Tamandua tetradactyla: one gene and its partners. The protein of the gene in region 2 purifies or fractionates together with the protein of the main gene of each other region. This does not show direct contact. Links are inferred from orthologs where the notes say so. Each region holds a gene or a part of one and is shown on either strand. Other genes may lie near its edges. The genes, in order: ETV4, COP1, ETV1 and ETS2.

Region 1 (7,117 bases), on a different chromosome or scaffold from region 2:
GGTTCATTGATTGAACTACAGTAATGCAAGATGTGAATAATAGGGAAAACAAGAGTAGGGGGTGAGGTGGGAGTGGAGGTGAGTATATGGGAACCCTCTACTTCTTGCCTTTTTTTTTTTTTGTAAATCTAAAATGTAAACCTAGAAATAAAGTTTGTTGAAAAAAAAGACATTAGTGTAGGGTTCCCTAAGGTTGGACTGGGTTACAGACCTGTTCTGTAAGACCCTGATGGAAGCTATGGAACTTCTTCTCAGAAAAATGCACGCGCATCTGCATACGCACATACACAGGTGCAGGCGGTTAGTACAGGGGCTTCACATCAACGGACCCAGGTATCGGAACCCCTGCAGTTCAGAGGGATTGATGTGAAAGTGGGATGGTGACAATGTCAGAAGGAAGTTCAAGAGCAACTCTTGTATTGCTTGGCCCTGACCCAGTAGCCCATGAGGAAGACCCCCAGCGTCCCCCACCCCACTACCTGACCCTGCTCTCTGATTCATACCCAGTGACAGCTCTAGCCTGGGAGACACTACAGGGACACAGGGCACCACTTGACCTTGTTGATGCCACCCATCAGGATTTTCTGAGCTGTCTCCCAGGGCAACCCTCTGAACTTCACTCTTTAAACTTCTGTGACTCTTAACTATCCCAAGTGCTAAGGAAACCATGCCCACAGGGACCTTTCCATCCTCTCCTCACAGTTAGGCAGGACAGGTCACCCACAGAATGTCCAAATCCAACCCTCTGCCACCACCTTCACTGAAACCTGTCCTGGAGAGAGCCTGCTCTTCCCAAAGGCCCCTAAGCCACCTGTTGTCTGATCCAGATGCCTCAAAATCCTTCCTCTCCTTTCTCATCCCTGGGTGCTGATCTTCCAGCTCTCAAAGCAAGCCATAGGCTTGCATATCTAACACCCACATTTACATTTTATAACTTAGACTCCTGGGAAACAGATCAGGGTCCAGCCCCCAATATACTAGCAGAAAGGATACATTTCCTCCCTACCTGTGCAGCCTCTACCTAAGGTGTGTTGGAGGGTGTCAGGAAGTATGCTGTATGTGTCCTCCACGGAGCTGTGTGTCCGGGAGGGGCCTCCCAGCACCCTGAATCTGGTGTGCTCTCTCTGGCTCAGGCATGTGCTTCCCCTGGCCTGCCGTGTGTCTGTTGAGTCGGTTGCGTGTGTCCTCAGTCTGTTGTGGGGGTCCTTGGAGTAGATGTGTGTTTGTGAGACCTCTATTTCCTCAACTCCAAAATGTGGGTGATCTTCATGGCGCTTACCTCACAGGACTGCTGTGAAGGTTGCCACAGCTGAAACAGATTGAACGCTTACAACAAGGCATGGCATACAGTAAGTGCTCAGTAAATGTTGATATGATTCCCAAAGGAAATCTCCAACCTATCACATTCTTTTCATTCCCTACTACCCCGGAAGAGGTTTGAATGCTCCCCTTTGAAGATGTCACTGCACCAGGCCTGGGTGTTGAATCAGGGGCAAAGTGACGGCAACAGCAGTAGGGGCAGTGCAGCAGTATCTGTCACTCAGCGGGTATGAGCATGCTGAGCTGGAGCCTGGGAAGTCCCTCAGCCTCTGCATAGCCTGAGGAGGATAGGGAGAGGGGAGGGGCAACACCACAGAGCCAGAGGCCCTCCCAGGAAATGCCACAACTCAGAACCAGAGGAGCATTCGTTAGAGTGCCCCAGCTAGAGGGCTTGCTCAAGGACACTCCAGATGAATCTTTGTTGGCATAGACACAATGTCAGCGCTGCCTTTGCAGAAGAACCCTCTGTCCTACTCCACCTCTCTTGGCCCCAGGACACATGCTCCTCCTTAAACTGGTTCCACCCAATTCAAAGCTGGCATTTGCTTGGACTTGTCTTCCCTTCCTTGGGCAGGGTTCTTACTGAATTGGATTAATTTGCTGTTTATTGTATGTATTCACTGAACAGGCATTTCATAGGACCCTCATTAGCAGGAAGCAGGTTAGGGGTAGTGGTGTACAAACTACAGAGGTGAACAAGACCTCTCTGGGCCCTGGAGAGCTTGCCATACATAAGGATGACTGTACGATGAAGCAGAATGAAGGACATTCTTGCCAGAGATATAGACAAGGATGCTGTGACAGCCTTAGAGATCTGATTGAGGCTGTGCTGTAAGGCTTCCTAGAGGAGAGGAGCAATAGAGATGAGCCTTTAAAGAACATTTTAGCAAAGAGAGGGAAGGTTATCTTTATTTGCTCAAGATGAGCTGGTGTTCGAATGAGCCCTGAAAGGTGCCAGAGGTTTGAAGTTCTAACCTCAGTTCTGACAGTGACCAAGTGAAAGACCTTGTATGGGTCACTCCCTCCTCTGAATCTCCACTACCTCGTCTGCAAAGTGGGGGGATTAGATTAGATGAAGTTTTGAAAGCAGCTCCTACTGGCTCAGGGTTTGGCCAGTCTCCTGTGTTTGTTGCACACAGACAAGAAGCAAAATCGGCCTCACCTCAAAGAATACCAGTGCATTTTGTAAGATAAAAGGCCTGGGGTACTAGGCCTTTTACCCCACAGCTGCTGTCCAAGAATCTCAGTCCTATCAGACATCTATCTGTCTTGGTCGCAGCTGCTTGCGTACTACTCAACACTGTGTCTGGCATAATAAATGTTTATTGAATAAAGTGGTGAATGAATGAGATGTCACAGGCTGTGACCAAATTTTTGGCCAAAACCATACCCAGTCCTGCCCCCAGAACATCAGACCCCTTGGGGTTTTGCTCACTAAATACCCCATGCTTGCTCTCAAGATGAGAGGAAAGATTGCCAAGAGCAGCGCTTTCAGAAGTCTACCATTCTGTGACCTCTGGTTTCCTGCTGCAATCAATAGAAACTGGGTCACAAACACTCCTGCAGAGCACAGACCCTTGAGAAAAAGCCTAGATTTCATGCCAACTTACATTTATTGAGTGCCTACTGTGTATCAAATGTTGCAACATGACTTAACTCATTTAATGGTGGCTTCAAAGGTCTGTACAGTACAGTAGGACGGGGTGGGGGTGGGGTGCGGCGAGTTTGGGGGCCGTAAATCCCAGCAGTGCTTTCTAGCTAGCTGAGTGAACTGAGGCAAGTCACCGCACCTCCCTAAGCCTTCATTTTCAATTTCTGGAAAATGGAAACAATAGACCCACTTCACCCTGTTTTGGGAACGAATGAGTACGTGGAAGCCGAGCTCATCATAAATGCGAGTTATTATTGTTTCTCTGGACACACAAGCCTCCCTGTAGGGCACACACAGAGACATGTTCACACTCCCACGTACACCCGGATGCAAAGAGACGTGTGCAGACGCCAGCCAGAGGCACTCGCGGCATCTCAGAGCCAGGGACCGCCGCGGAGTTTCTCGGCAGGGTCCTCGGCTTTCCTCTCTTCCTCGCAGCTCGTTATGAATGAACTCCGACCGCGAGTTTATTTTTTTATGAATGGGAGCCCGAGCCGTGAATGAAGCCGAGAGCCAGCCCCTGCATCCCGATTGGTCCCTGGGCTTGGAAACTCCGCCTCCCGAATCGGCCGGGCGAGGCTTCTGATTGGCGAGCGTGCCCGGCCCTGGGGTTTCATTCACAAAAGTCAATGAAACAAAGGGATCGGAGGTGGGGGAGTGGGGGTGGTGCCGAGGCAGAGGCAAAGGAAATGCACCAATTGGCTGCTCCCCCGGGCTCACAACTGTTTGCGACGCCCGGAAAACAAGCGGGTGCGCGGGGGTCGGGGGACCCGGGCGGTCTCACTTGGGCCCAACCCCGCGGCCCTCTCTGCGGGCCTAGGGGCATGCTGGCGACCCTCCCGCCGCTCCAGCACCGACACCCCTGCCTCAGGTGAGGCTGCGGGAGGGAAAGGAGGGAGAGCATCTGATTCCCCGCCTCGCCGACAACACACACCGCATTCTCTCTCACCCACCCGCCTCTGCGGATTCCAGGGGGAGTGGGAGGCACTGGCACTCGGGGTTGGAGGGGGCGCGGGAGTTGTGCGCGTGCGAATGGTGCGCGCTTTGCCCGCTCCTCCTCGCGCGCGCGCGCGCGCGCGCACACACACACACACACACACACACACACACACACAAACGTCTTATGTAACCGAGCTGGGGCAGAGCAGGGTTGCAGAAAGCAGCAGAAACGGGAGCCGGGTTCCCGGGAGCAGGTGGGATAGTCTTTGGCGGGAGGGGAGTGGCGGCGGCGCACCGCCCCGCGGGCGGAAACCTCCCTTTGGCCGGAGTGAGTCGGAGAAGTTTCGCCGTCGGATCCAGAACCCCTGGACTGCCCCTTCCCCGCCCCCGCCGCCCCCACTCCCCTGACCCACCCCCCGCAGCCCTCCCGGGACAGTGTGCGAACGCAGCCCCCTCCCCCACTCCCAGGTCTCGGCCCCCGCGCGGGGCCCCGGCCTTGCCGCGGGAGGGAGCGGCCGGATGGAGCGGAGGATGAAAGGCGGATACTTGGACCAGCAAGTGCCCTACACCTTCTGCAGCGTGAGCGCCGCGCCCGCCTCCACGCCCGCCCCCGCCCCGCACCCCGCCCCTGCCTGCCCCCCGACCCCCTCCCCGCGGCCCTAGCGGGGTCCGGGGCTACCGGCCTCTGGGTCACCCCGGGACCCCAGCCCCGCTCCCGGGACCGAGGGACCTCCACCCTCGAGTTTGACCGGGGTGACTCGTGGCATTCTCCCCCTTCTCCTAGAAATCGCCTGGAAATGGGAGCTTGCGCGAATCGCTGATGGTCCCGCAGGGAAAGCTCATGGACCCCGGCTCCCTGCCGCCCCCCGACTCCGAAGGTAAAAAAAAAAAAAAAAAAAAAAAAACAGTGAGACACCCCGCGACCCGCTCCCAGACGCACACACTCCCGAAGCTGATCCTGGAGCCCCAGGCGGTTTCCCAAAGGGAACTCGCCCTCCAAGGGACTCTGGTTGTTCTTCTCTACACTTCCTCCAAGGGACTCACCGGGCTCCTTGGAGCTCCTCTTTCACGCTCCCCTCCACCTCACCTTCTTCAATTCCGTTTTTCACCCCTCAGATCTCTTCCAGGATCTAAGTCACTTCCAGGAGACCTGGCTCGCTGAAGGTGAGTAGTTTTGTGACCTTTTCTATATTTGGGTGTGGGGGGCTTTCTGGCCACTTCCTCTCTCCCCTTCCCAGTCTCAAGTGGCTCCCGAAGACCCTCTCCCCCTATCCCTTGCCTCTCAGCTCTCCCAGCGCCCAGTGTGGACACTTGTATTGATATTTATTTTCTCTGCCCTGAGCCAGGCTTGTGTAACTAGGCCTGGGGATGAATCAGACCATTGTGTGGGGTATTTGCTTATTTGAATGGAACTTGGCCCCAGGCCCGTTTCCCTGGTTGAAATTTTCATTCGTAAAGTCTGTTTGGCAGCAGTTACCAGGCAGGCAGAGGTGTGTGTTGGGGTGCTGGGGTGTTGGGGGGAGGGGAGGACAGTAGGATGGGGAGAAGGAACAATTAATTTGCTGCCCATCTTCAGGAGTTGCCAACACATGAATTCTCACCCCCCTTGATTTCCCTTCTTTTCAACCCTCAGCACCGAGCAATTTACTATCTGAGCCAAAAGAACAACAAAAGTTTAAATAATTCTTTTCTGCTGCACTTTGGCAAAGAGGGCCCAGGACCTCTTCCCCAAATAGCTTGATTGCGATTGCAATTCTAATGGCAACTGCCCTCTCTCCTCCATCCCTCCTGAATACCTCCCGCCCCCAGGCAAATACCCTTTCCTGTGTGCTGGGGGTGGGGGTGGGGGGGGTGGTTAGCTCCGAGCTGGTTAGGGTGGTGTTAGTGACTGGGCCTTGTCTGGGTGGCCAAGTGTGTTTTGGGAGTCTCCTGGTTAGATTTGTTGGTTTTTTCGTGGGGCCTTAGGGTGTCATTTGTGGCGCTGCAGGTGGAGGCACAATAGTGGGTTAGAACAATATCTGAGAGGGAAGGGTTAATAGTCCCTTCTCAGGTTCCCTTTATTTCAACACTCAGAAAACCAAGAAACCAAAACAGTAGGAACCCCAACTTTGGAGGCTTTTCTTTTCCTTGGGTTCTCCCCATCCCTTCACTTCGGTATTTTTCTTTAATGGATTTTTCTTTTCTTTTTTTAAATCTCAAACCCAACTCCTCAAACCCTTTATGGATTTAGGGTAGAAGGAAAAGTCCCTTAACTATGATCTTTGGGGTAAGACTAGGTCTGTCTTGGACACTGTATTATCCAAAAAATATGTGTTGAAAGGATAAGTATTTACCATAGGGAAGTACTCGACATTTTACAGAATTAATAGCTGAACGGCTGGAAGAGATTGGGGGTATTGTGGGGCTGTTCCCCAAGTCTGCCAACCCTGCAGCCCACTCACAGTCCGGCTCACAGTCCGGGGCAGCTCTGCCCACTCTGCCCACCCTCCTGCGGGGTGCTGGAGCTAGGCTGGAGCTGAAGAGCACAGAGGTGTCAGTTTCCCTGTTCTCCCAAATACTTCTTTTCCCATCTGCCTGCTTGCAGTTTAGCTCCCCCGGCTCCTGGTGTCAGCTGAGGGTTCCTGCACTTCCTACAGTGGACAACTTGGGGTGGGGGGGGGGGGTCTGTTGCAAGTGGGGAGTGCGTTCCGCTTGGAGGCTGATGTTTTGGCAGCACCTGATCCATTTGTGCCTGGATTTGGGTTGGGATGGAGAGGAAAATGTTCTCATCTCCTCTCAACCCTGGAAGCCCCACCCATGGCTGTTAGGGTCTAGAGAGTGTACATGTGTCTGTATGTGTTGGTGTGACAGTGTGTCGTGTGTGTGTGTGTGTGTGTGTGCGCGCGCACGCACACGTGTGTGTGTGTGTGTGTGTGTGTGTGTGTGTGTGTGTGTAACACGCCACTGCCCTGGGAGCCCCTGTACATTTAAAGCCAGTGGGTGGGGAGGTGGGGGTGGGGATCGCCAAGCGGAGGAGGAGGTGGTGGTGGTGAGGGGGCTGGGATCTCCTTGGTTCCCTCTCCTTCCTTCTGAGGGAGCGGCTCAGGTCCCCAGCTGGCGATGGATGGCCAGGCCTGAGGGGGGCATGCTGAGGCCGTTCGCTCCTTCTCACTCTCTCTGCGGAGACAGATGCAGCTGCCAGGGCCCTGTCCCCCTGCACCGTCCCAG
Region 2 (7,766 bases):
ACAAAATACGCCTTTCTCCCTTTGGTCTCAAAGCGTAGATGTGGTCCTAAAATACAGACAATGTCTTCCTTATCCCTGTATTCTGAATTACCTTAAATCGGGACCTGACTGGCTTTGTTTTTATCTCTAAATACCAGGTAATAGATACATAAAACAGCCTCTCAAAATCCAGAAATAATAATTACCACTCCAGACTAAATGTGTCTGCCATTAGAGCTTACTATTTAGGCCCCTGTTTTCTTATAAGCATTTTCTAAAGGAGGCCACACAGTAATTGTTCTTTCATTTCTGGCTTATTTTGCCTCATCAAATGTTCCACATGGTTGCATGCCTCACAACTTCGTTCCCTTTTGTAGCAGCACAATATGCTATCATATGTATACACCATCATTCGCTAATCTACTTCTGTCATTGCATCCTTCAACCACCTGCATTCATTAGGCATCATGTACAGTGCTCAAAGTCCACAGTGTATCAACACTCTCAATTTTAGATAATTTCATTATTCCTCAGAGAAAGATAGCCAATTAACACACCCTCACCAAATAGGAAATCTAAACCTTCCCTTAACTTTTGTCCCTCCCCCGATTATTTACGCCTGCTGTTGCTGTGGTACTGCTGACGTTTTCCTGTCAAATACAATGGAGTTCTTTTAACTATTAAACCTTGCTTTTTACTTAATCCTTATTTACATTTTTTATTGTTTTCTCTCCTCCTGTTCTCTATTTCTTTTCTCTTATTTTCAGTTGTCTGACTTCCTTCTCTGTGTTTGTTTTTGCTATGCTTCCTCTTTTCTCTTCTGCTTTCCCAGAAGCTTCTGCAGTAGAAACTGTTTTCGGAATATAGTCTGGTATATTCTGCATTAATCTGGTATAAAAGGGAAATTCCATTGCATTACATCCCTTCAGTTTTGAGGATTTAGATTTTTATTGAAGATAGGTTTCAAAGTGGAAATACTAATCAGTGTTGATTTTTTTTCCTAGGGGACTCAGCTGGGGTCATATCACTTTCTATCATTTGAATAAGGAAGAGAGACTGCTTCACATATTCCTTGTAACTCTCCCACATAATAAAGTAGTGTTTCTCAAAGGGTTGGTCACCTGCATCAGATTCACTTGGATGCTGGGAAAAATGTATATTTGTAGACCCTATCTCAGGTTTATAGAGTCAAAATCTCTAGGGTGGAGTTCAGCAATCTGCAATTTTAACAAACTCGCTACATAATTCTTCTCTGCACCAAAGTTAGAGAGTCACAGAAGTAATAATATGTTCAACAAGTATGAACTATTTGAAGATTGGTATACTATTCCAGTTACCAGATAAAGGCCATGGATTCTTCTGCCTGCTGTGCTCAATAACCAGTTCCTGAGACACCAGGGTTTCAAAGAGAGAAAGAGTTTATTACTAGGCACGTAGTAGGAGAGCAGATGTCCTAATGACCCAACATTTGTCTTCTAGAACTGCAGTAATTCGGGTAGTTTTGTTAGAGAAAAAGTAACCAGGGTTTAGGATAATGAGCAGAGTGACCCCAGATGATATAATTAGAGGTGATGTGATTATTGAGCATGTGCAGATTGATTACATGCTTAGTCACAGAACACATGAAGGAAAATGGCGGAATGAGGTATGGGTGACTTGTAGGTTAAAGCCCAAGCTACTGTGCATGTCAGATGGACCCACTTAAGGTTAAATCTGGTCTCAGTCATCAAGATAATTTGGGACTTGGGGTGGTTTAGTTTCAGGCGGACCCAAGACTTCATTAACAAACATTAAGGGGCTGTCTTTAGTGATTCCAAGACTCTGAAGTTGAAAAACTAGATAACCAGGTACAGATGAAGGTTAGTCATAAAGTTTTTACAATCACAGGGAGAGAAGATAAGGGCTATACAACCGTTACTAGAGATCACGGCAGCTGGATTACAATTCAGAGATTTCAGGTATTTCCCTGTCTATTCCAATATCAGAAAGCTAAAAGGAATATTTATATCAAAATCATCCCTTAAATCCTGATTTCTCGGTTACATTCCGTTACTAATTTCCAAGTATTTCTTGCATGTGCCTTAGCCCTGCAGTTTCAGTCACTGCCTGAATATACTTACTTGAATGTTTTTCATCAGCACATTCCAACTAAATTATCCACTGGAAGTCTCCACTTCTGTCATTGTACTACTGCTATCCCCAGAGTAATTTTTGGAATTATTCATTTCTCTTCATGCTCTATCATTTTTATTTAACATATCGAGTACTGTGCCTAAGCACTGGGAAACACAGAGATGAATAAAACAGACAGAGTCATGCCCTTGAGGATCTTAAAGATTGTTTTAGAGTAACTTAGTCCTATAGATTCCATAGTTTGTTTTTTTTTCTTCCAGAATATTTCCTTGTCTTTCCTGCTACCATCCAAGTCTCTTATCACGTATGCCTGGCCTGCTGTAATTTTTCCTGATTCGTCTATTTGCTCTTAATTTCCCACCTCTTCTGAAAGATTAATCTGTTGATAGCTCAGTATTCTTCAAACAACGTTTTGAATACTTTCTTCCCCCAACTTGTACCTTCATTATTTCCAATTAACTAAAGCATATTTTCCAAACTGGATACTGGCCTTTTCCAATCTGGCCTCCCAGATGAATTTCTCCTGAATACATTCTAGATATCTATACTTGACATAGCATTTTTACTTATTTTTTTGCTTTAAAAAAACAGACTTTTCTTTAAAGGCCTAACTCCTTCCTCCAACAAAAATGACTGTCCCTCAGTACTTGCTCTTGCTTCAGTTCCGGTAGTTATTCTGTTTTACTCATTAAGCATTTAGCATGTGGTCTTTGGTATCATTACTTATTATTATTTTTTTGTATATTTCTCTATTTCCTCAATTATTCCATAGGCTTCTTGAATGCTGGAACAATGTTTTATACACTTCGTTGTCTCTTCCTTGCCCCGTCCATGCTTAATGTCATTCAATAAAGTCATCAAATTCATTATATTCAGTCATTTATGTATTCCATCATCAAATACTTAATTGAATATCCACCGAGGACCAAGCTGATCTTTGCTTTCATGGAACTTCAGTTTAGTTGGTAAGACAGACATTGAACAAATAATTAAAAAAAAAAATGAAATGGATACATTTACTCATTTGTTAGTCAACACTTAGTAATCACCCATCACAGGCCATGTTTTGTGATCCATGTTGGTAGTATAATACTGAAGCAGATGGTAGGGAAGAATCACATATAAACAACTAAAATACAATGTAATAAGTGCAAACATAACATCTTGGCAGCAAAAAGGACGGCCCTATTATCTGTCAAGGAGAGTTAGGGAAGGCATCACATTTCAGTTGGGTCTTGAAAGTGATTTGAAACAAGGGATTGCAATATTTTTGCATGAAAAGGATGGTTCTTAGAAAACTGATAACGCAATTCCTATACCATTACTCTGAGCAGAAACTTGAGCTAAACCCAAGAATCTTGGAATATGAGTGAGCAGTTTAAGGTTGAATTGGAAGAGGGTGTCTGCCATCACTGCCCAGCTGGGCAGCGAGGTTTGGGTTGCTGGATGAACCTTCATTCAGGTTTGTCCTTAATCCTGCCCCCCGGGCCACAGACAGTCAGGTAAGTATGTCGTTTCTCCTGTATGTGTCTTCAACACCCACGACACAATTAAATCTGGGATTCTTTCCTCTAAGAGTCATAGAATGATAGAGTTGGAAAGGATACTAAAAATCACACAGTTCAGTTGTTTCTAACTTACATTCTCTAGAATTTTGGGCATTCTCAAAGTGATAAGCAAAAGTCTGCAAACAATTTTCAATATTCCACAACACCTAAAAGATATTGCACATTTTCGGGTGCCAGGTTTCCCTGTTCTGTGCCAGAATTATATCAGGCCCACATTAAACCAAGGTTCTGAATAATCTATTGTCTGATTAAGTATAGTTCGTTTCCCATAATTGTTATACTCAACTTGGTAAACAACTTTTCAAAATATAGGCGTGAGCTCACAGTCGAACCTGTAAAACTGGTAACTGCTACAAGGTTTGGAATTCACGAAGCACTTTTTACTAAGTTCATCTTACTTTCTCACAACATCATCGAATAGCTTAACAGCAGAGCCCGTTGGCCTGGAGTCTCAGTTTACTGATCTTTCCACTGCTCCGCGCTTCACGTTTCCCTTCCGTGTGCTTACAGCACCTTCATCCCTAACTGGTAAGGCGCCACTGAGTCACATCGTCTGCGTCGCAGAGGGCAGCGACCGCATCGTTCACACCCAGGAGGAATGCGGCTCGCTCCCACGCATGCGTGTACAGCGACTTAACGACTGCTATACTCTTCTTGGTCCCGAGCTGGGACACCCGGGCAAACCCGCAAGGGTCTGCGCCCAAAGCGCGCGTGCGCAGTCACCCATAGCGCCCCCGTCGTCCCCAGGTCCTGTAAACTACCTCGCCACTCTTTACTAATCTGTTCACTCTCCTCAGCAGTTTCACTGGATTAAGACGCCTTCCCTCCAATATGTCAGGCACGAAAACAGCTTTCGACAAGGGATTTTTCCCATTGCTAAGCGCCCAAGGCTTTGGTGCGCGCTGAGGGTCGCTCGGACTGTGTGAAGTTGTATTCCCCGCCGCTCCCGCCCCTTCCGCCGTCCGCGCGCGCGCACGGCCGGCTCACGGCACGCCGGGGTTGGCTGCGGCTGCGACCACGGCGGCGGCGGCGGCGGCGGCGGCGGCCTCGAGAGCGGTAGTGGTTTCTACTCTCCTTCATTAGTTTCCTCCGCCCCCTCCCATCGGACGCTGTTGTGTGGTTGCCTTAAAAAAATAACTTTATTGTTCCACAGCCCCACCTCCCGGCGTGCGCGCGTCCTCAGGATGCACTGAGGCTGAGCGGAGGGCAGGCGGCGGCCGGTCGAGGTCCGGGTCCCTCTCCTCCGAACCCCGGAGGAGAGGGAGTCACGATGTCCGGTAGCCGCCAGGCCGGGTCGGGCTCCGCTGGGACTAGCCCTGGCTCTTCCGCGGCCTCCTCGGTGACTTCCGCCTCCTCGTCCTTATCCTCCTCCCCGTCGCCCCCTTCCGTGGCAGCGTCGGCGGCGGCGCTAGTGTCCGGCGGGGCGGCCCAGGCCGCGGGCTCGGGCGGCCTCGGGGGCTCGGTGCGGCCTGTGTTGGTGGCGGCTGCCGTGTCGGGCAGCGGCGCCGGGAGCGGCGGCGGGGCGGTGTCCGCGGGCCTGTCCCGGATCAGCTGCACGGCCAGGCCCAGCGCCGGCGTAGGTGGGAGCAGCTCCAGCCTAGGTAGCGGCAGCAGGAAGCGACCTTTGCTCACCCCACTCTGCAACGGGCTCATCAACTCCTACGAAGACAAAAGCAACGACTTCGTGTGGTGGGTTTGAAGAGTAATTCCTGCCTCGCTACCTTAAGAGTATCTGTTGGGGTCAGTGAGAGGGTGGCCTGCCTGAGAGCTTGGGATACTGGTGCTCTTATGGTGGTGTCAGAGAGATGGGAGCCAGTAGGTGGTGGAATGGGATGATGGGGTCCTGAGGCAGGGTGGGTAATGAAAAGATAAGTGCAGGTAGGGAGGAAATGAAAGGAGTTTAGGGAATAATAAATAAATGGGAGAGAAGAGATAGAGGGTCACATAAATGATAGAAAAAAGGATAAAATTGGGCAAGCAGGTTGAAGCTTGCTTTTTTCTGGCCAACTTGTATATTAGGTACCCCAGATCAGTTTTATTTCTTGTTGAGGTGAATTAAGTTTGTACAGAACAGAGGGATGGAATTCTGTTTTGGAAGTATGAAGTTGCTTATTGGAAGTATTGTGCATGGAGCTCTAAAAAAACGGGATTGAGGCTGTTTTAAGGGGAAGTAGTATTGAATATAAATATCCACCGTATGTGTATGTGTGTTTAGATACAACTTCTCACATTTCCAAGTGCAGACCACTTGCTTTTAAATCTGCTTTCGAGGCTACTGTAATCAGAAAAGTCTGTTCATAAAAAAAAAAAACTTCTTAATTGAATGTCTTGAAAGAGGAACTGTATTTATTAAGTACCATCAATGTATCAGGCAAACTGTACTATGCTTGTAGAACACAGTGTAATACAGGAACTACTAATTTGAGAAACTCTAGATATTGGAGACTTTGTCGTCATAAAAAAAACAACGCAATGTTTTGTGCATTTTGAATGATACACAGGGATATTAAGTCATGATATTTGACATAGAGAGATTACCCGTATTAAGTTAGAGTTGTCTAGCGATAGGGTTTGGGATTTTCATTGGGCTTTGGATATTGGTAGGATTATGAGAGGATTGTTTTATAGCTGAGAACTGGTAGGATTTTGTCCTTTTCCTCTGGAGGAAATTGTTGATAGGCTTAAGATACTAGTGATGTAAGAAGTTGGCTTGTGCTATTGGAGAAGTTGATTCACTTTTCAGGGTTAAAGATAATCTTGAGTTGGTGTCATTATATGTGATAGAGCTAGAATTGGAACTTAAAGGGAAGTTATTGGTAAGACTTTCAGGTTTTAGCTCCTCCAGAAAAAAATGTGTCTACTCATATTTCTGCTTTAGTCTTAATTATTCTGGATTAAAAATTAACTCATTTTTTTCATTGAAATTCGTCTATAATTGTGATTATAAATAGTTTGAGCAGCTTAAGGTTGGGTGTTTGCCCTCATGCCCAGTAGAGAGTGCCATATGATAAGGTAGAAGCTAATATAACAAAGTGGGGGTTTGCAGAATTTAGTCATTTCAGTTACCATTTACACTTCACTTTTCAGGTTAAAGAAAACAAATGCCAGCATCTGTATATGTATACTAAAATAGTACAAAAGATGTAAGAAATAAAGAAATCATTCATTCAACAAACATTTATTTAGTACTCATTGACAGGCACCATATGAGTTGCATGTACTTTAGGCCATTTTAAAGAGATTTGGTGAGGACAGGGGACATAGAAACAGCTGGCACTGATTTTTTAAGGGCAAGATTATTAAAATTTTTAATAGTCATCACCTTACTTCTAAGAATTTTAATCCACTCTCGAATCCTAGCCATATTCCTTAGATTGTTCTGTTTTCTTTTATATTCTAGTATCAGTGAGATTTTTCAGTTAAAAATTCTGAATATTTCAACTTCTGGGAGCTTATTAGTCCATTATTTGTTTTTCTGGTGAAGTTGAATAATGAAAGAATTAATTAATGGAATCTGTTTTCAGTTTCTCCAGCCAGTTTTGATTTTGGCCAAACCCTTTGGGTAGGAGGACATGGATTGGGCAAGTCTTTGCAAATCCTTTTAGTTTCTAATTGGCTGTAGGTAGCTTGTCTCTCTGGTAGGCCCAAGGGTTGAAGTATGAACCAAATTGCTCTATGCTTTTTTTTTTTTTTTTTTTCACATGGGTAGGCACCAGGAATCGAACCCGGGTCCTCTGGCATGGCAGGCAAGCATTCTTGCCTGCTGAGCCACCATGGCCTGCCCTGCTCTTAGTTTTATATCTACATGAGGCCCAAGTTTGAATAATGATGATTATTCCTTATTTATTTATCATATATTTTTGTATCTCACATCTCGTTTTATTCTTAGAGCACTTCCTATTTTAACATAATACGAATTTAATTAAATTCCCATTAAGTCACAGACAAGTTAAGTAACTGTTTTAGATCAGACAGCTAAGGGACAAAAGTGAGAACTCGGATCTTCCAGTTCTCAGCTTAGTGCTTTCTTTTTATGAAATCGTTAGTCTGATGGTTCTTAAATCGGGCAAATGAGAGGAAAGCAAC
Region 3 (7,679 bases), on a different chromosome or scaffold from region 2:
ACCAAGAAATACTCTAAATACAAGGGAAAGACTTCTCATTTGGACTGGTTTAAAGAGAGCACATTGAATAAATATATTTTATTTCTAAACATTCATTGAAACTATATAAATACATTTTCATCTAGTATTTATTTGCAAAAAAAAAAAATTAAAAGTAGAAAATTCGGATTTGGTATAGCAGAAGTATAGTTTTCCCAGAGGGTCCTAATAAATGTATTTCATAATATGACTTTATTTCCTTTGACCTATGTACTATATTGGCCATTAAAAATATTAATAATAATATAGACAGAACCTCTGTAGCACTGGAGAAAGTATTTGGCTAGAAACAACAGCTAGTTAGCTCTGAACTATCCTTAAGTTTTCAAGTCACTGCCGGTCAATTTAGAGTTAGAAATTGAAGCTGATTTGAAACAATCATCTAAACCTACTGCTTTCTTTCTTTTAGAGTATATAGAAAGAATACCTTTATCAAGTGTTAAAGATGTTCCCGTCATGGGAGAAAATACCCCTTTTTTTGTCTAAGAATGTTTACACTTCTGCATTAATTAGTGCATGCACATTGGAACAGTCATTTTCATGTTAAAAGTGGATGTGGTACAAAACCAGGCTTAGTGGACTCATGATTAGTTTGTTCCATGGTCTGACTCTTTATTTTAAGGATTAAACAGAACACCATTATGCGAAGGTAGATTTTCTTACTACTTTACTCTTATTTAAAATACATTTTAAATTTCTTCAGAGGAGCTTTAGTTCTAACCCTTTGATTAAAAGTGAAATGCTCCAAAATTCAGCAACAATCTGTTATTACCTTATAATTAAGAAAATTTGAATAATAGGCAACACATTAAGATATTTCTCTAGTGGTTTTTCTCCTTCCTTTCATTTTTTCCTTCCTTCCTTTTCTGAACTTTCAGGTTACTGTGACAAATTTCCTTGTGAAGCAGGGTGGGTTAAGTACATATATATGTTCATTTCATCAACTCGTCGCTTATTTAAATGTGTTCCTTACTGGATCTGAGTTTGTATTTCAGACAGCAATAAAATTGGGGTGTTTATATTGCAAGTTCAAGTTTACTTGCTTTAACTCTTCGGAAGGGTGTAACATGAAAGGATTGCGGTTGAGCCACAGGGCGCAGGCTGGACTGTTTTGTGAATGGAGGCAGAGCCCCAGTCTGCCTGCTTGTCTTGAGGAATTGCTGAGGAGATCAGCTGTCTCATTCACGGGCAGAAAGAATGACTCATACATCTTCCGCCTAGTTTGGCTCCAGGTCATTGTTACAGTGGATAGAACTGGTTTTAATTAAATATTAACCCTTTTTATACTTGACATTTGTTTTATTTGTAATTTTTCTACTTTTCCTATCCTTAAAAGTAAACTCAACAGGTCCCTAGTTTGTAAGAAAAGGGGGGCTTTTACTTTCCTGCAGCCAACCTTGTAGAATATTTAACCATCACCTTTTCTTAAATAATTATTATTTTATTTGAAAGTTAAAAATAGGTAAAAAGTAAAGGCAGGTTATATTTAAATATTGCCTAGCCTACCCAAAAGGAAATTTAGTCACGAAAGGATTTAAGATTAAAAATGAGGTTAGTGATTCTTTGGCATTTAGATCATGATTAATAATTTTATGGATTTCTTTCCCATAGTGTGTATAGCTATGTAGTAAAAAGAGAGGGGGAAAATCAACTTTGCATAATAATCTAGGTAAAGCAAATAGCTGAGAGTGCAGATACTATCCTTTTAAAGCCTGAGACTTGATGGCAACTTGTCTATTAATGTGCAATGAACTGATAGAAGCGCTCCAGCTATTACCAATAAAATCCACATGCTTAATCTTCTTGAAAGCTTTTTATTGGTCTTTTGCTGTATACTTTCCCCTTCTCTTCTTCCTCTTCCCTTTCCTCCTTAATTACGTAGTGTGGGAGGAAGCATTTCGCTCCCAAAGGTGATGGTTTCAAGCACAGTTTATAATAGGTAGTAGTAAAAAAAAAAAATTGGGGGGGGGGATTGGCTTCTCTGTTAATTTTCAACTTTGGAGCTGGTATGATTTGCCACAAGTTTTCAGGCAGCTGTAGTGTGCTACTTCACAGAATTACTGTGGATTGGAGAAAAAAAGAAATAGCATGATACAAGTGCAGCAATGGTTTGTCATATTTTCCTTGCCCAAATCCAACTTGTGTTTTTAGTTAACTGCTTTCCTTTTAGTCTAACTTGAAATTAGAGGTATACTTAAGCCTTTGTCTATTTAAGTAGCATGCTGCTTCATTTGGTCTATTCAGTTTCTTAAGATTAGCTTCTGTGAAAATGTGAGTCATATGTTTTTTGTTAAAATTCTGTAAAATGTTCAGGCATAAGTGTGAAGTATTTATTCAGTATGTTAAGGGAGGTAGAACAGAAATAGCAATTCTTATTCTTACTTTTTACAAATTGTTGGTATGCAGCTATATTCTGTGTATTTGTGAAGTATAACTTCTAGATTCTTCTGCTCCTGAAGTTTTGCTTTTTTGTGCACATATCCCAACACACACCACACATCCATCAGTGATTTTTATGCCTTTCTTGTAGAGATTATATATATCACGGAGTTGCAATTTTGTCTTGTAATAGTAAGGGGAAAAAAAAAATCTGGCCTTTAAGACGTTCCTACCAGCATATTGAGTTACAAATATACTTTTGTAACTCACGAGCTATTTTTAACTATTCCTGTAAAGGGGATATTACAATTTTATTAGATTCTTGTAAATGTTGGCTTTTTAAAAGTATACCAGTTGCTATGGTTGATAATTTTGCATCTCAATAGTTATCTGTTTAGTTGTTAATTTAGAGGAAAATTCAAAACTTGGGGGATGATAGAAAAAAATATTCAGGACCCAATGTTATTTATTAAATACATATAAAATACTTTTGTAATCTTTTTGGTGTGAAGATTTATTTTAAAGGTAATTTATAAATCTAAGTGAAAAAAACAAGCACTGAAATGTCAAAAATTATGTTCTTAATAGCTAAGAGAATAACTAAGAGAATGAATGCATTTTAGTTGTTTTTATCCCTGTGCAGTATAATTAATTATATGTTACATTTTGTGCTATAATGATTGAAATGGATTTTTTTTGTAAATTGAAAGACAAGGGTGGATGGTAGCGTATTGGAAAGACAATAAGTAATATTCATTAAGTATCTTGCATTGTGTCTGGCAGTGCTTATTACACAGTTTCATTTACTCCTCACCAAAAAAACCCCTTATTATCACTATTAAACTGATTAGTAAAATGGAGTTCAGAGAGGCTAAATAACTTACTCAAAGTACACAGCTAGCAAGTAGTGAAGCTATGAGTTAAAGTTTTTCTGACTTTTAAGTTTTTACGCAGAATATCAGATATTAGTGAAATACAAAGAGGAAAAAATTCTCCTTGCAGTATATGCTGATCAAATAAGTATTGGTTATAACCTGAAAAATGTTTTAATTTGTTTGGTTTCATTTGGCAGCGGGGGTTATTGTGTATTTTTAGTAAGCTTAAGTATTGGTGTGAAGAAGAAATTTGTTAGAAAACAGCTCTATGTCAAACTGCATATATTTTAATAATATTAAGATGAATGTTTCATTGGTTATTCAGACTATTAATAATATACATTTTATTGTCACATACTTCTGTTTTTAAAAAATAATATGATAAACGGATTAAAAGAGCAACTTTAATTCTATGTTTCATTCTGTAAACTAATTTCTTTTTATACATAATTTTTCTTAATCCATTCAGTTATCAACTTGAAACATTTTCAACAGAGACTGCTTATTTTCAAAAAGATTTGTCCTGCAGAATAGGCTTGTTTTTTAAAAAAATAATTAATTTAAATTAATTTCAAGAAATTAATTTAAAAAATTAACATCTGACTTAAATGGATATAGAAATCAGTATTGTATATTACCAGTAAAATAATACTAGTTAATCAGATTATAGTCAAAGTTACTTAGAATAACTAATTATATTTTCATGAAATTAAAAGTAACCTAACTTCTATTTTATGCAGTTTGTGTCAATGTGTGTATTTGAGTGTTTGTGAAAACTGGGTTTAGTAATATTCTGTCAGTTGGTTATTGTGTTGTCTAAATCAACTGTGATGAAAACATTTTAAAAGTGAAAAGGTTTTTGTGTTTTGATTGCTGCCAACTGCATTAAATCCTTGCTATTCAGTATTTTTCCTTCACTAAAAATAGGGTAGTCATTTGGCATTACGACTGATGAAATAGTGACATTCTTTTTGTTAATGCTGACTAGTCACCAGGAAAATATTTTGCATGAAAAGATGAATTTTAGTTATTATTTATAATTTGTATTGGAAATGGTCATCATCATTGAAAACGGTTTTTTAATTTAAGAAACTCTGTAGCATAGCTTGGCCAAATTGGGACAAACATTTTTAACTGTAGTAGACAAATTTGCAATAAACCAAACTTACCCAAAGCATCCATACTAAGAAGTAGAGGGGTATGTGTGATATAACTGCATCAATTAAAATAATTGTTTAATTTAGAAGTGCTCCAGGCACTGGCAGTGGGTGACTTGAAATACCTTTTGCTCTATTCTTGCTAAAAGGCACTCTGCAGCTAGTAAAATTATATAGCTTTTCTTTTCTTTCTTTTTTTTTTTTTTTGGTGGGGAGGGTACATGGCCTGGGACTCCAACCCCGGCTTTCTGCATGACAGGCAACATTCTCCCACAGCAGCCGACACCCCCCTCCTATGGCTTCTTTTATTTTACATGTCCTTTTTATTTCCATCTGGCATGTGAAATTCAGAGCGACTACAACTGCCACCATTATATTTCTGGCATATATGTGTATATATATATATTTTTCCCTAGTTTACATCAATTATCTCCTCTATTTTCCCCTCCCAAGTGTTGCTTTCATTACTATTTTAAATAGGAGCTCATTGGCAAATAGTCATAGCTTTGATCTCAGTCTAAAATTTTCTTACTTGAAAGATCTTACTTGCTATTCTTTTGCCTTGGTGATTTCTCTCTTAATTTGTTATTATTATTTTTCTCCTCTTCTAGCTCAGGTACCTGACAATGATGAGCAGTTTGTACCAGACTATCAGGCTGAAAGTTGTAAGTATATAGTATATGCCATCTCTTTCATTTTTCTTTTCTTTTCCTTCCCTCCATACCCTGCTCCCCCTCTTTGGTTGGTTTCTACTTCCAGTGTCTGTTGTTGAATTACACCAGGGCCCTTTCTGTCCACAGTTACGGGCTGTTTTATTTGTCAGGTTGTGACATCATCACAATCCCTGTATGACATTAGCAGAGCTCTATAAGTAACCAAGGCCAACTGATTTGATTAAAATAGTATCCTGTTCTTCATATTGGGTAAATATTCCTGGAGCGGAATCAGTGTGATCCATGAGTGTGCAAGTGTTTACATCCAGTGAGCTATTATGTTCACAGGGGAAAAAATCCCATTTTGCTGTCATTAGTTAAAATCCATGAGATTATTTATTGAATAACTTATAAAAGATCCTAGATCAAATATTCATTAACTTATTGCACTGTTTTATTTTTACATGCATAATCTGTCACCTGCTTTGATTTAATTTTTAGCCTGAAGTTTTCTGTTCTCCATCGCATTAAGCCAAATGGAAGTAGCCATTAGCTTCTCAGCGTCCCTTCAGTTTTCCTTTTCCTGAGCCTTGCTCCAGGGTCAGCTTGTCAGAGATGCAGGAGTAGTGATTCATGGGTTACTGCCTCCCTGTCCTTAATTGCAGAGTGAGCATTTCGCCTGCACAAACATGGTTGCCTTGGGGCTTATTTTTGGTATTTATACTTTGCTGTTCTACCATCTCACTGCAGCGATTGACCTAAGAGTACGAATAGTAAAGTGTCTAGATGCCATCTTGATTGCAAAACTAGCCTAATACATTTGTGTTCTCCTAGCACCATTTAAAGCTCTAACTTGATTCTTTTCTCAGACCACTTACAGTTTCACAGAGGCAATTATCAACAGCAATAAGAGATTCTTAATACCTTACAACTTATCTAACCCATAATTTTATACCCGGGTATCATGAATTAATATAAATTTCTATATTACTTCAAGTAACACATGGTTGTGAGAAATGTTTTCTACTATATTTGGTGTCTTAAATTTCTCAGGTGTTGAGGGAGTGAAGCTTCTTCCGTATTTCTCCGATGTTAACCTTGTTTTAGTTCAGCTTGATTTTTAACCTGAGAAGAGAATTTCTTGGCTGTTTGATGACCGAATACAGGTACTTGGATATGCTTTCAAGAAACGTATTCAGCAGAGAAAACCCCTTTAACTGGAGACTGTTGAAACATTGCCAGAAGAGCCACAGCTATGCAGGGCCCCCCTTCTTAATTAAAGAGTGGGAAGAGAATGGCCACATTTCCCACATTGTCTGTCCTCTCTGTGGGGAATTTGAATTCTTTCTAAAAGCCAAATCTGTCATCTGAGTGGGAGAATGTCTCACTGAGTCATTTTATAGCTGAAGAAATTGTTAACAATTCCAATGCAATACCAAATGCTAGGGCAAAATAAATGACCTAAAGGTAATTTTTGAAATTCTTCTTATTTGAACTCTTTTCAGTTTTTCTTATTCTTGATCATGTCCTCTCCTTGAAATTTCTCTCCCCTTGGTCAGAATGGTGTGATTTTTTTTTCTTCCTTTCTCTTTGTATGCTCATTTGATTACCCCTCCTCACTCCATTCCTCTTGCTGACCTTCTCTTTGTGTACCTCTTCCTTCCCTGGGTTCTGTCCTCAAAGCTTTTGTCTCAGTTTACACATTCTACCAGCACTGTCCCAAAGACTTTTCTGGAACGATCGAAATGGTCTATATTTGTGCCTTCTAATGCAGTACCTACTCAACCTGATCGCCAGGTGAACACTTGAAATGGAGCTAATGGGACTGAAGAACTGTATTTTAGTTCTGCTTACTTTAAATAGCTCTGTGGGGGCGACTGGCTACTGTATTGGCCAGCAGAGCTCTGTGGTAGTTCCTCCTACATTGCTGTCTGCAGCGGGGTCTCCTGTAGCTGTGGACTGAACACCTTTACCTGATCCATCACTAGAATCCTAGACAAATTTTTAAAGATTCAAATCCTCGGGACTCAGCCCCACAGCCCTCAGCTTTGTGTCAGTGTAGAAGTTTTACACAGCGACCCTGAGCTTCAGCTTGGTGTTCCACGGAATTTACACTCAGCATGTCTAACATTGACATCATTACTTTTACTAACCCACGCTTCTCTTCTCTTCCTACTTCTTTTTTCTAAGTTAATGGCATCAACATGTAAGACTAAAATCTGTGATTTATCCTCAGTTTCACTTGGTTCTTTGCCATATACCTCAAGTTGCTTGTCAAGTCATTGATTCTCCCTTTCAAAGATATTTTAATTTAAAAATATCTTAATTTCATGACCTCTACTCTGTTTCACAGCCTTAATTCTCATCCAAATTCTACCTTGACTGAACTTATGAATCAACTTTTTGATTGGTGTTATTGCCTTCAGTTAATCCCCTTTTCCAATCAACCTATGTAATGGCATTAACCCACAGCTATTTGCCTGTTTTCGTCTTAAATTTCCATCAAGATAAAATCATCATTCTTTAGCAGTAAAGAAAACTGTTCTATAAATCTGGACCTTGACTACCTTTTCAGT
Region 4 (7,764 bases), on a different chromosome or scaffold from region 2:
ACCAGTAGCTCAGTTGGTCTGAAATAAGGTACTAAAAAATCATAAACATAAAGTGAGGGGAGAAAAACACTTGTAGCAATTGGAAAGCCATTCCCAAAAAGAATCGATGCAACTGAAACATTCCAGTTTTCTTATGATTTATTCACACTCCAGCTTAAGTCTATTACATATTTAGCCTTAAACCTTTAATCCATGTTTTTATTTTGTTGCCAAAAGTGGCATGCGAATTAACCTTCCTTTAGTCATTTGCTAGACTGACGGGTTCAATAATGACTAACTCCTACTTTGGGTGAAGACTAGGGGTTCAGTTTTCCAGTTTGCAAGATTAAAAAAGTCCAGGCTCTGTGCATTATGTAGTTCATCACATACTGTGGGAGTCACTTTGTGATTCAGAAAAATCACACCATTATAAAATCACATATTTGCACAGGGCTGACTCACCTTTCAGACACATTTATTTAGGGATTATCAGTTTTACAGAACACAGCGGGTCTCTATGTCTATTTTTGTTGTTCAGACTTGCCTAAAGCATGTCATCATGCCGTTTCCTATCACGGTGGATTTTAAAGGTGGTTTGTACACTCCAAGAATGCTGCCTTATAAGGGAGAGGACAGTGCCAGCAGGTGGCTGGCGGAGCTGGTAGGCAGTGCCAGGAAATAGCCACACAACCACGGGCAAGGAATCGATTCTCCATGGGCCTCAGCTTCCTTCTCTGTAAAAACAGGAGCTGGTCTCTGTTATCAACTCTCTAAGGTGTTTTTCCAGTTTTAAAATTCAGTGTTTCCTTCTCTGGTCTCTTACCAGGGAAAGAAAATTATAGTGAAAGAACCATCACCTCCAATATATGCAGAAGAGTCTAAAATAAAGCAGTGTTCAAAGGATGAGTGAAGAGGATGTAGAAAACCGGCCTCCCCAGGGTCAAGGGAGCCATTGCTTGTTTATCACATACTCAGACTGAACTACGTGCCAGGGGTTTTCCTAGGGTGCTTGAAAAATATTAATTCATTTAATCATCATGACAGCCCTAGGAAAAAAGTACTGATATTATCCAAACTTGACAGATGATGAGCCCTTGGGGCAGATGAGGCTGCCAATAGGCAGAAGGCATTCTAGTGGGACCCGAGGAAAAGTTTTGACCTCCAGGATCATCCCGTATTTGCAATTCTGAGGAAGCACAAAGAAAAGAATAAAAGCTTCCTGCTGCTGCCTGGTTTGATACCTCCCTGTTAGGAGGCTGGCAGGCTGCTGGATTCCTGGCATCTGAGCCCTGCCTGCAAATGGGCAAGAATGGAGGGTCAAGTGGCCAGGATAATAGTTGCACATATATTTGGATTATCAAACTTGTCTTTATCAGTTCCTTGACCCCAACATACATCACTCGAATAAACATTATCCCTGAACACCTCCAAGAGCCTGCAGTGTAAATAGTCTACCTAGAAAACACAGGTGCCAGAATACACAGGAATCAAAAGATTTCTATCTCTAAGGGCATTCTTTGCCTCCCCAGCCCCCTACCCCCAGGATTTTTAAAGTTCCATTATTGTGTGTGAATTTTACCACACTTTGTACTTCATTCTAGTCTGTATCTTCACCTCATCAAGGCCAAGGACCAAACCTTATTCATCTTTGCCTGCCCAGCACCCACCACCATGTTTGCAGAATGAATAAATAAAGGATACATCACAGACCAAATGACGTCTGTTTAACTTGCAACTGGAAACCCCCACGAACTGTGCATCAGCTCCACTGATTTGGATTGCAAGGCAAATAATGGACGCGTTACTAAGAAACGTGTTTTTTAAAATTTATCTTCAAGGATGATTTGGTAAACTTTTTCTGCATTTTACATCTTAGGTATAGAGTATACATGCACTTATGCGTTTCTATCATAATATCCCTTTTCCTCTTTTCTTCATGAGCTTCTCTCTATCTTAAGAGAAAAGAATTAGATGGCTTTTAAATTCAGCTTGATCTAAGTGCATCTGATCATTTCACCCCGGGTGCCTTCTGACTTCTAATTTCCTTCTAATACCTTTAACTTTTGATCTTCAGGTGCAAGTGCTGTACATTTATAAGGTTTAATTGACTGCGAAGCCCAGCGTTCCTTGTGAATCCTGCTATAATAGTCAATGAATAACCACAAGGCTTCAACCAGGCAGGGTTTGAGTTCTGCTAAGTAGCCAGGAAACCAGCTGAAAACAGGAAGGAAATATCAGGAACTCCGATATTGCCCCAGAACTAGTATATGCCATTTTATTAAAGGCGTGGAACCGCCCAGGCATAGAGGGACAGTGGCCGGCCCAGGGCAGGGGGGCTGTTTGGATTAGCCCAGGGCTCCTTGGAAGGTGAAGCAAGCCAGGAGAGGGCCCTGGAGGGAGTCGAGACACCAGGCTTGAGGAGGCGCATGAGGGCGCCGTCATCTACCGGCACTCCCCAGGCACACAGCCCAGCTTACACCCCTCCTGCACCTCTTTGAGCCTGCATTTTGTGATCTGTTTCTGACAGATCCTCTGAGATCTGAGAGGGTCCGGATGGTCTGTTTTATGCATAGGACAGGTGTTTTTTCTAAAGGGTTTTTCATAAAATGCTCCCAGAGGGGAGCTTGGAGGAAAAAACAAACTAGCTCTCATGTTGAACTTTTCTCTACCACATACTACAACACTGATAAATTATTTACAGATTCAGCCTAATGTCAACTGCTCACCCCAGCCTCGTGACATAGGTCTCTAACCACTCACTTATTCTATTGAAGAGAGAACTGACCCTAGAGAAGTAAAATAACTGGTTCGAATAGTCATGAGTTAGCAAGCCGAGGAAGGCCATCTCCAAAGTGCTGTGCTGCTTCTCTCCATCTCTCTGCTCAGATGCTGGAAGAACCCAGCACGGACAAAGCACCTCCTCTCAGCTTCTGTCTGTACCAGTGAAAGCTGTCGCCCCAAAAGTCAGTGCACCTCAACAACTTGGAGAAAGCATGAGAATCCCACAGGCACAGAAGTGGGAGCTGCGGGACAAGGTGGCCCACTTTGGGCAATTGGACTTCATGAAACGCTGGCACACCCAGCTTCTCAGACACTAGCTAGGTGTAAGTGAGTAGTCTGGGGTGGGGGGTGGGACCCCTATATTAGTGAAATCACAGCCCTGATGAGTCAGTGTTTTTCTGCTGTACGTTTTTTTTTTTTTTAAGCAATGCACTCTTCACATCTCCATGGCAACTTACCATGGATCTGTATTCCGTTTATGGAACATCTTGACCTTATCTGCTTTCTGATCCAGGCCATCCAGTCAATTCCGTCACCGAAAAATACCGCTCTCCCCTGCTCCCTGTTGTTCCAGGTGTGCAGACTCTGTCTCTGACACAAGCTCTGCTGATACCTGGAAAGATGTCAGTTAGCCAGCTAACCCCAGATCCAGAGCTGTCATGGAAATCAGGGCCGCTGGATAACACAGAGGCTGGGCTATCCTGTTCACCTCCAGCCCAGTCCTTGAGATGCACTTTCAGCCACAGGCCCTTGCCTGAGCTGGCGGGACTTTTCTGTTTCATACACCAGCAGGAATCAGAACTTTCCTCCACAGCATCGGCAATCTGACCTGGAGCCTAAATAGGAAATCCACACATTGCTAGCCATGGACTCGAGTGCCTTCTGATAAAACATGGAAACCAGCAGCATGAGTGGTGGGTTTGACCACAAAGCTTGGGAGTTAGATAAACTCGGGTTTCAACCCTGAATTTCCCATCTGCCTTTTACAACCCAGCTAGGGATTGCCTCCAAGATTAAAGTCCCCCCACAGGTACAGCGGGGATAAGCAACCCCCACAGGCATTTCAACCAGAATGCTCAGTGAGAGTTCAGGGCTTGATTCAGGCACCGCCCAACTCTAGGGGGCGCCACACACACGGGCGCGCTAAGAATGGGGCTCCCCAGGGTTGTGCAGAGAACATCCACTTTCACGACTCAACTAGGTGACCCCCCAAAAACTGAACATTCATAACCTCATTTGGAGACTTTTCATGAGAGAACTGCCAGAAATCCTTCGTCCCGGAACCGGGCCAGCTCAATCTGCGGCCTCTCCATTCGGGCTGAATTCGACTGCCAAGCTAGGAGCTAAAGCCTTGGGACGGCCGGGGAAAACGGATCCCTCCAAGGAAAGACTCTTGGCCTGACATCCCAGGGCGCGCGCGGGGCCGGGGATCCGAGCCCGGGGTCCAGCTCCAGCCCAGACCCTGCGGCACTGGGACAGCGGGCGCCGGAGAGAGGGCGCCGGGAGGAGCCGGGTGCTGGCCTGCGCTGCACTCCGCCTTTCCTCCCCTCCTCCCCTCCTCCTCCGTCTCCTCCTCCCCTGCCTCTCCTCCCTCTTTCCTCTCCCCTCCTCCACGTCGGCTTCCCCTCCTCCTTTCCCCTCCTCTCTCCTCCTCTCCCCGCCTCTCGGTCCCTCCTCTCCGCTCTCCCCTCCCTTTTCCTCCTCCCCTCCCTCTCTCCCCTCCCTCCTCCCTCCGCCCTCCTCCCCTGGCTCCAGAAGAGCGCGCCGCAAGGGCCACAGGCCGGCTACTTCCTCCAGCCGCGACGCGGAGCGCGGTGTAGACTTAGTCCCAGCCCCAACACCCGCTCGCCCACCCCGGCTCGCGCCCCGGCCTCGCCGAGCGCCCCCACCCGCGCGCGCCAGCCGCCCCCGCCGCCGCGGCCCGGATCCGCCGCGCTCGCCCTCGCCCTCGGCCTTCGCCCAGCACCGGGCGCCCATTGCCCAGCGCGCACCCCGGGAGCCCGCAGGCCCGGAGCAGCCGCAGCCGCCGACTGCGCGCCGGCCCTGCCCGAAGCGGCGCGGTAAGAGCGCGGGGTCCCGGGGCTTGGGCCGGGAGGGACCACCTGCGGGGCCGGGGTCCCAGGGCTCGGGCGGCGAGGGGCTGCCTGCGGGGCGGGGGCGCGGGCCGGAGATCCACACCTCCGACCCCCGTGGCCCGAGGTCTGCGGAGAGCCCCCTCCGGCTCGCCGACTCCTCTCGGTGGTAGGGGGGTTTCAGAAACTGGGCGGGGGTCCGTGGGCAACACCGAGGTCTAGATGCCGGGAGAGCCCGGGGTCAAGGTGGGGGTGGCGGCTGCTCCTCGAATTCGAGGTTCGCGCGTCCGAGCTCCGCTGGGGGCCAGTTTTCCGGGTTCCCGGGTGGCCTTCGGAGTGGAGGGGCCGACGGGGGCCTCCGCGGGCCGGGCGGCCGCTTGTTTCATTTCTCCGGGGCTTTGTTTCTTAGCAGGCGACGCGGGCCTGGTGGGGTTTCTTTACGGGGGTTCTTGTCCTGTGGGTGCCCCGCGGGCTTGATTTCGCGCCGGGGCTTGGGGACGCAGGAGGGAGGGTGGCCGCGGTGGCCGCTAGCGCGCCCCGGGTTTCATGATGTCTTACTAGGGCGCCCTATTGTGTGGAGCGGCGCGGGACCCGGAGGGAGGCTCGTATAAGCCCCCTAGCAGGCTACGGCACCCCGAAATCGTGCCGGAGCCCGGGGCCCGGCTTCCTCTGGCCGCCACGACGCCCACCGGTCACCTGCTCGGCCACGTCCAGGGTCCCGGCGGGGGACGGCGGGCGAGGGAGGTGCCAGAGGGAGTTGGGGTGGGGGTGGCGCCCTCCCGTCCTGCTGTTTGGGCGGGACTCCCGAGGGTGCCCCCTGACTTGTGGATCGGGGCGGGGGGTGGGGGTAGGCTCTTGGTCCTCGGGGGGCGAGCTTGGCAGACGGGGTGGGGGTCCTGTTGGAAACGTGGGTGTGGGTGCGCCGGGCTGCCGTGAGGTTCTCTTTCCTGAAGCGTTTTGAATGAAGGGATAGCTGAGCATTTCTGTGTGTGGGTTTGGGATTGGGGGTTAGCTGGTTTGAGGGCACATGAGGCTTTTTATGTGAGACTGTACTACATTTCAGAGTGCTCTAAGATAGTAACTGACCTGCTTCTTTTTTGGAAAGTAAAGAGGTGAGCTGTCCACCTGGGGGGTGGCAGTAATTTATTTTAATGCACCATTAGGAAGATTGTTCCTTACAATGGAAGTCGGTGTGTTGTCTGCCTGCCCACATCACCAGCCATCACCAAGATAAATCTCCAGGTGAAGATTTATTAAAGTTCTGAGTAATCTCACAGTACAGCAACGTGTGTGTCCCCCTCGGGGAAATATTCAAACGCTCATTTCTGGGCTTAGTCATTCCTCTCTCTAAACTGGTGACTTTCGAAAGCGAAAACAGCAAAGGGGCCTTCCATAGTGGGTTACAGATTTGTTTGTTATTTCCCCGCAATTTTACCTTAATACAAGCCTGCGTTCTAATCTTACGTAACTGATCACTTCTCCCAGTGGGGTGCTGTGGTCAGGCCAGTTCTTGTTTTGAATTTTGACCAATTCTAGCCATTCCATTCTGTCCTTATTCCCCCCACCCCACCCCCTTTTCTTTTTGGTTCAAAAGGAGTGATCCATCCAGCAACACCAGAGGGACCTACATTTGAACTTGATTTATGTGGTGAAACTTGTCACGTTGACAAGCCATGTTGAGGAAAATAAATGAACTTAAATTTGATTAGTGATGTGTCTGCCTGAAACCATTTAGTAGAGCACTTTGATTCTGCATGGTTTTTACAAAACTCATTAAAACCTGGACAACAAAAGAATTCGGCTCTGTAGCTAGCAATTACAGCTCTTTATGTGGGAGTGGTGAGCTGCCTTTCGTCCTGGTATTTGTACACAAGAGCCAGGCAGAGCCCTTCCATTGCCTTCCATGGTCTTTGGTCTCTGGGAAGCTGAAACCCGGAGAAGCAAGCCCACATCCTACAGACCAAACCGGGAACAAGAGCTGTCCTCCCGGACCCTGCGTGGGTACCAGGCAGCACCCAGGGGGTTGCCTTTTGCCCTTCTGCCACAGGTAGCACGCGTGATATCATCCAGCCCAGTGACATCAGGCTCTAAAGTTAAAGAGGATTGCAATCTGGGGACAGGTGTGCGCTGTCTCGGAGTGAGGCCGGGGGCGGGCGAAGGGGCTCTTCCTGACACGGGGGAGGCAGCTCAGGACTCAGGGTCACGCACAAATGTGCAGATAAGATTTGGGGTCCTCCCTGCCCCTCGGTGACCCCGGAGTATCTCTGGGATCCGGGACGAGTTCGTGGACGCTGCTGCCTCAAGGCGAGATGGGCTTGCATCTGCCTCTGGCGTGTTGGGGAGGTTTAGGAGGTAGGGACGTGCTTGGCCCTAGCAGGCCGCTGAGTCTGCATTCTGCCAGCGGGCGTCGCCAGCAGCGGGGAACACTGATACTTGAGTCCCTGTGGGTGATAAATTCAACCGAGAAGAGCTTCTGAGCAGAGGAAGTAGACCCAGGAACCCCTCCCCCAAGCCCCACCCAGAGAGCTGTTTATTATCAGTAATCTAATTACCTATAATCCCAGGGTTTTAGCAGCTCTTTCTGAAGCCTCTCGCCTCCTCCCACACTGCCATGTTAGCCTAGGGGTGTGCGTGTGTATGTTGTGTGTGTGTTTGTGTGTGCACCCCGTGGGTGGCGGGGTCTTTGGGAAGTCTGGTTTAACTGCAAATACTGACCATAAAGAGACAACAGGAAAGCACAAACAGAATTAGTTATGTGCAAATATGCAATTTGCTATCTCCAGTAAGTTGAGCAAATTCCACAGTATTTTTATTACTCTGAGCTCTTGGTTGTAACAGGTGGGAGCATACAATGGAGAACACAGGGTAGGGCGAAGGTATGAGGGGTGCCCCGTTTATGGCTTTGGGGTGCCTCCATATGGCTTCAGGGTGC

What was found.
Region 1: the proteins of COP1 (region 2) and ETV4 purify together in Homo sapiens (affinity purification with mass spectrometry; 5 studies listed by BioGRID and IntAct, with this or other methods). This does not show direct contact. The link is inferred for Tamandua tetradactyla from reciprocal best matches to the Homo sapiens genes COP1 and ETV4.
Region 3: the proteins of COP1 (region 2) and ETV1 purify together in Homo sapiens (affinity purification with mass spectrometry; 4 studies listed by BioGRID and IntAct, counting the BioPlex papers as one, with this or other methods). This does not show direct contact. The link is inferred for Tamandua tetradactyla from reciprocal best matches to the Homo sapiens genes COP1 and ETV1.
Region 4: the proteins of COP1 (region 2) and ETS2 purify together in Homo sapiens (affinity purification with western blotting; 3 studies listed by BioGRID and IntAct, with this or other methods). This does not show direct contact. The link is inferred for Tamandua tetradactyla from reciprocal best matches to the Homo sapiens genes COP1 and ETS2.

What each region holds. Positions count from the first base shown.
Region 1 is NC_135332.1:23,857,188-23,864,304, forward strand, and holds the start of ETV4 (ETS translocation variant 4), read left to right. Parts: upstream 1-4,113; 5' UTR 4,114-4,164; intron 4,165-4,378; 5' UTR 4,379-4,429; coding exon 4,430-4,489; intron 4,490-4,694; coding exon 4,695-4,788; intron 4,789-5,026; coding exon 5,027-5,074; intron 5,075-7,117.
Region 2 is NC_135330.1:30,141,527-30,149,292, reverse strand, and holds the start of COP1 (E3 ubiquitin-protein ligase COP1), read left to right. Parts: upstream 1-4,765; 5' UTR 4,766-4,950; coding exon 4,951-5,369; intron 5,370-7,766. UniProt on the Homo sapiens protein: E3 ubiquitin-protein ligase that mediates ubiquitination and subsequent proteasomal degradation of target proteins.
Region 3 is NC_135327.1:110,437,604-110,445,282, forward strand, and holds the start of ETV1 (ETS translocation variant 1), read left to right. Parts: upstream 1-4,669; 5' UTR 4,670-4,745; coding exon 4,746-5,115; exon of another isoform or gene 5,116-5,261; intron 5,262-7,679. UniProt on the Homo sapiens protein: Transcriptional activator that binds to DNA sequences containing the consensus pentanucleotide 5'-CGGA[AT]-3'. Required for olfactory dopaminergic neuron differentiation; may directly activate expression of tyrosine hydroxylase (TH).
Region 4 is NC_135336.1:103,035,252-103,043,015, reverse strand, and holds the start of ETS2 (protein C-ets-2), read left to right. Parts: upstream 1-4,753; 5' UTR 4,754-4,820; intron 4,821-7,764. UniProt on the Homo sapiens protein: Transcription factor activating transcription. Binds specifically the DNA GGAA/T core motif (Ets-binding site or EBS) in gene promoters and stimulates transcription.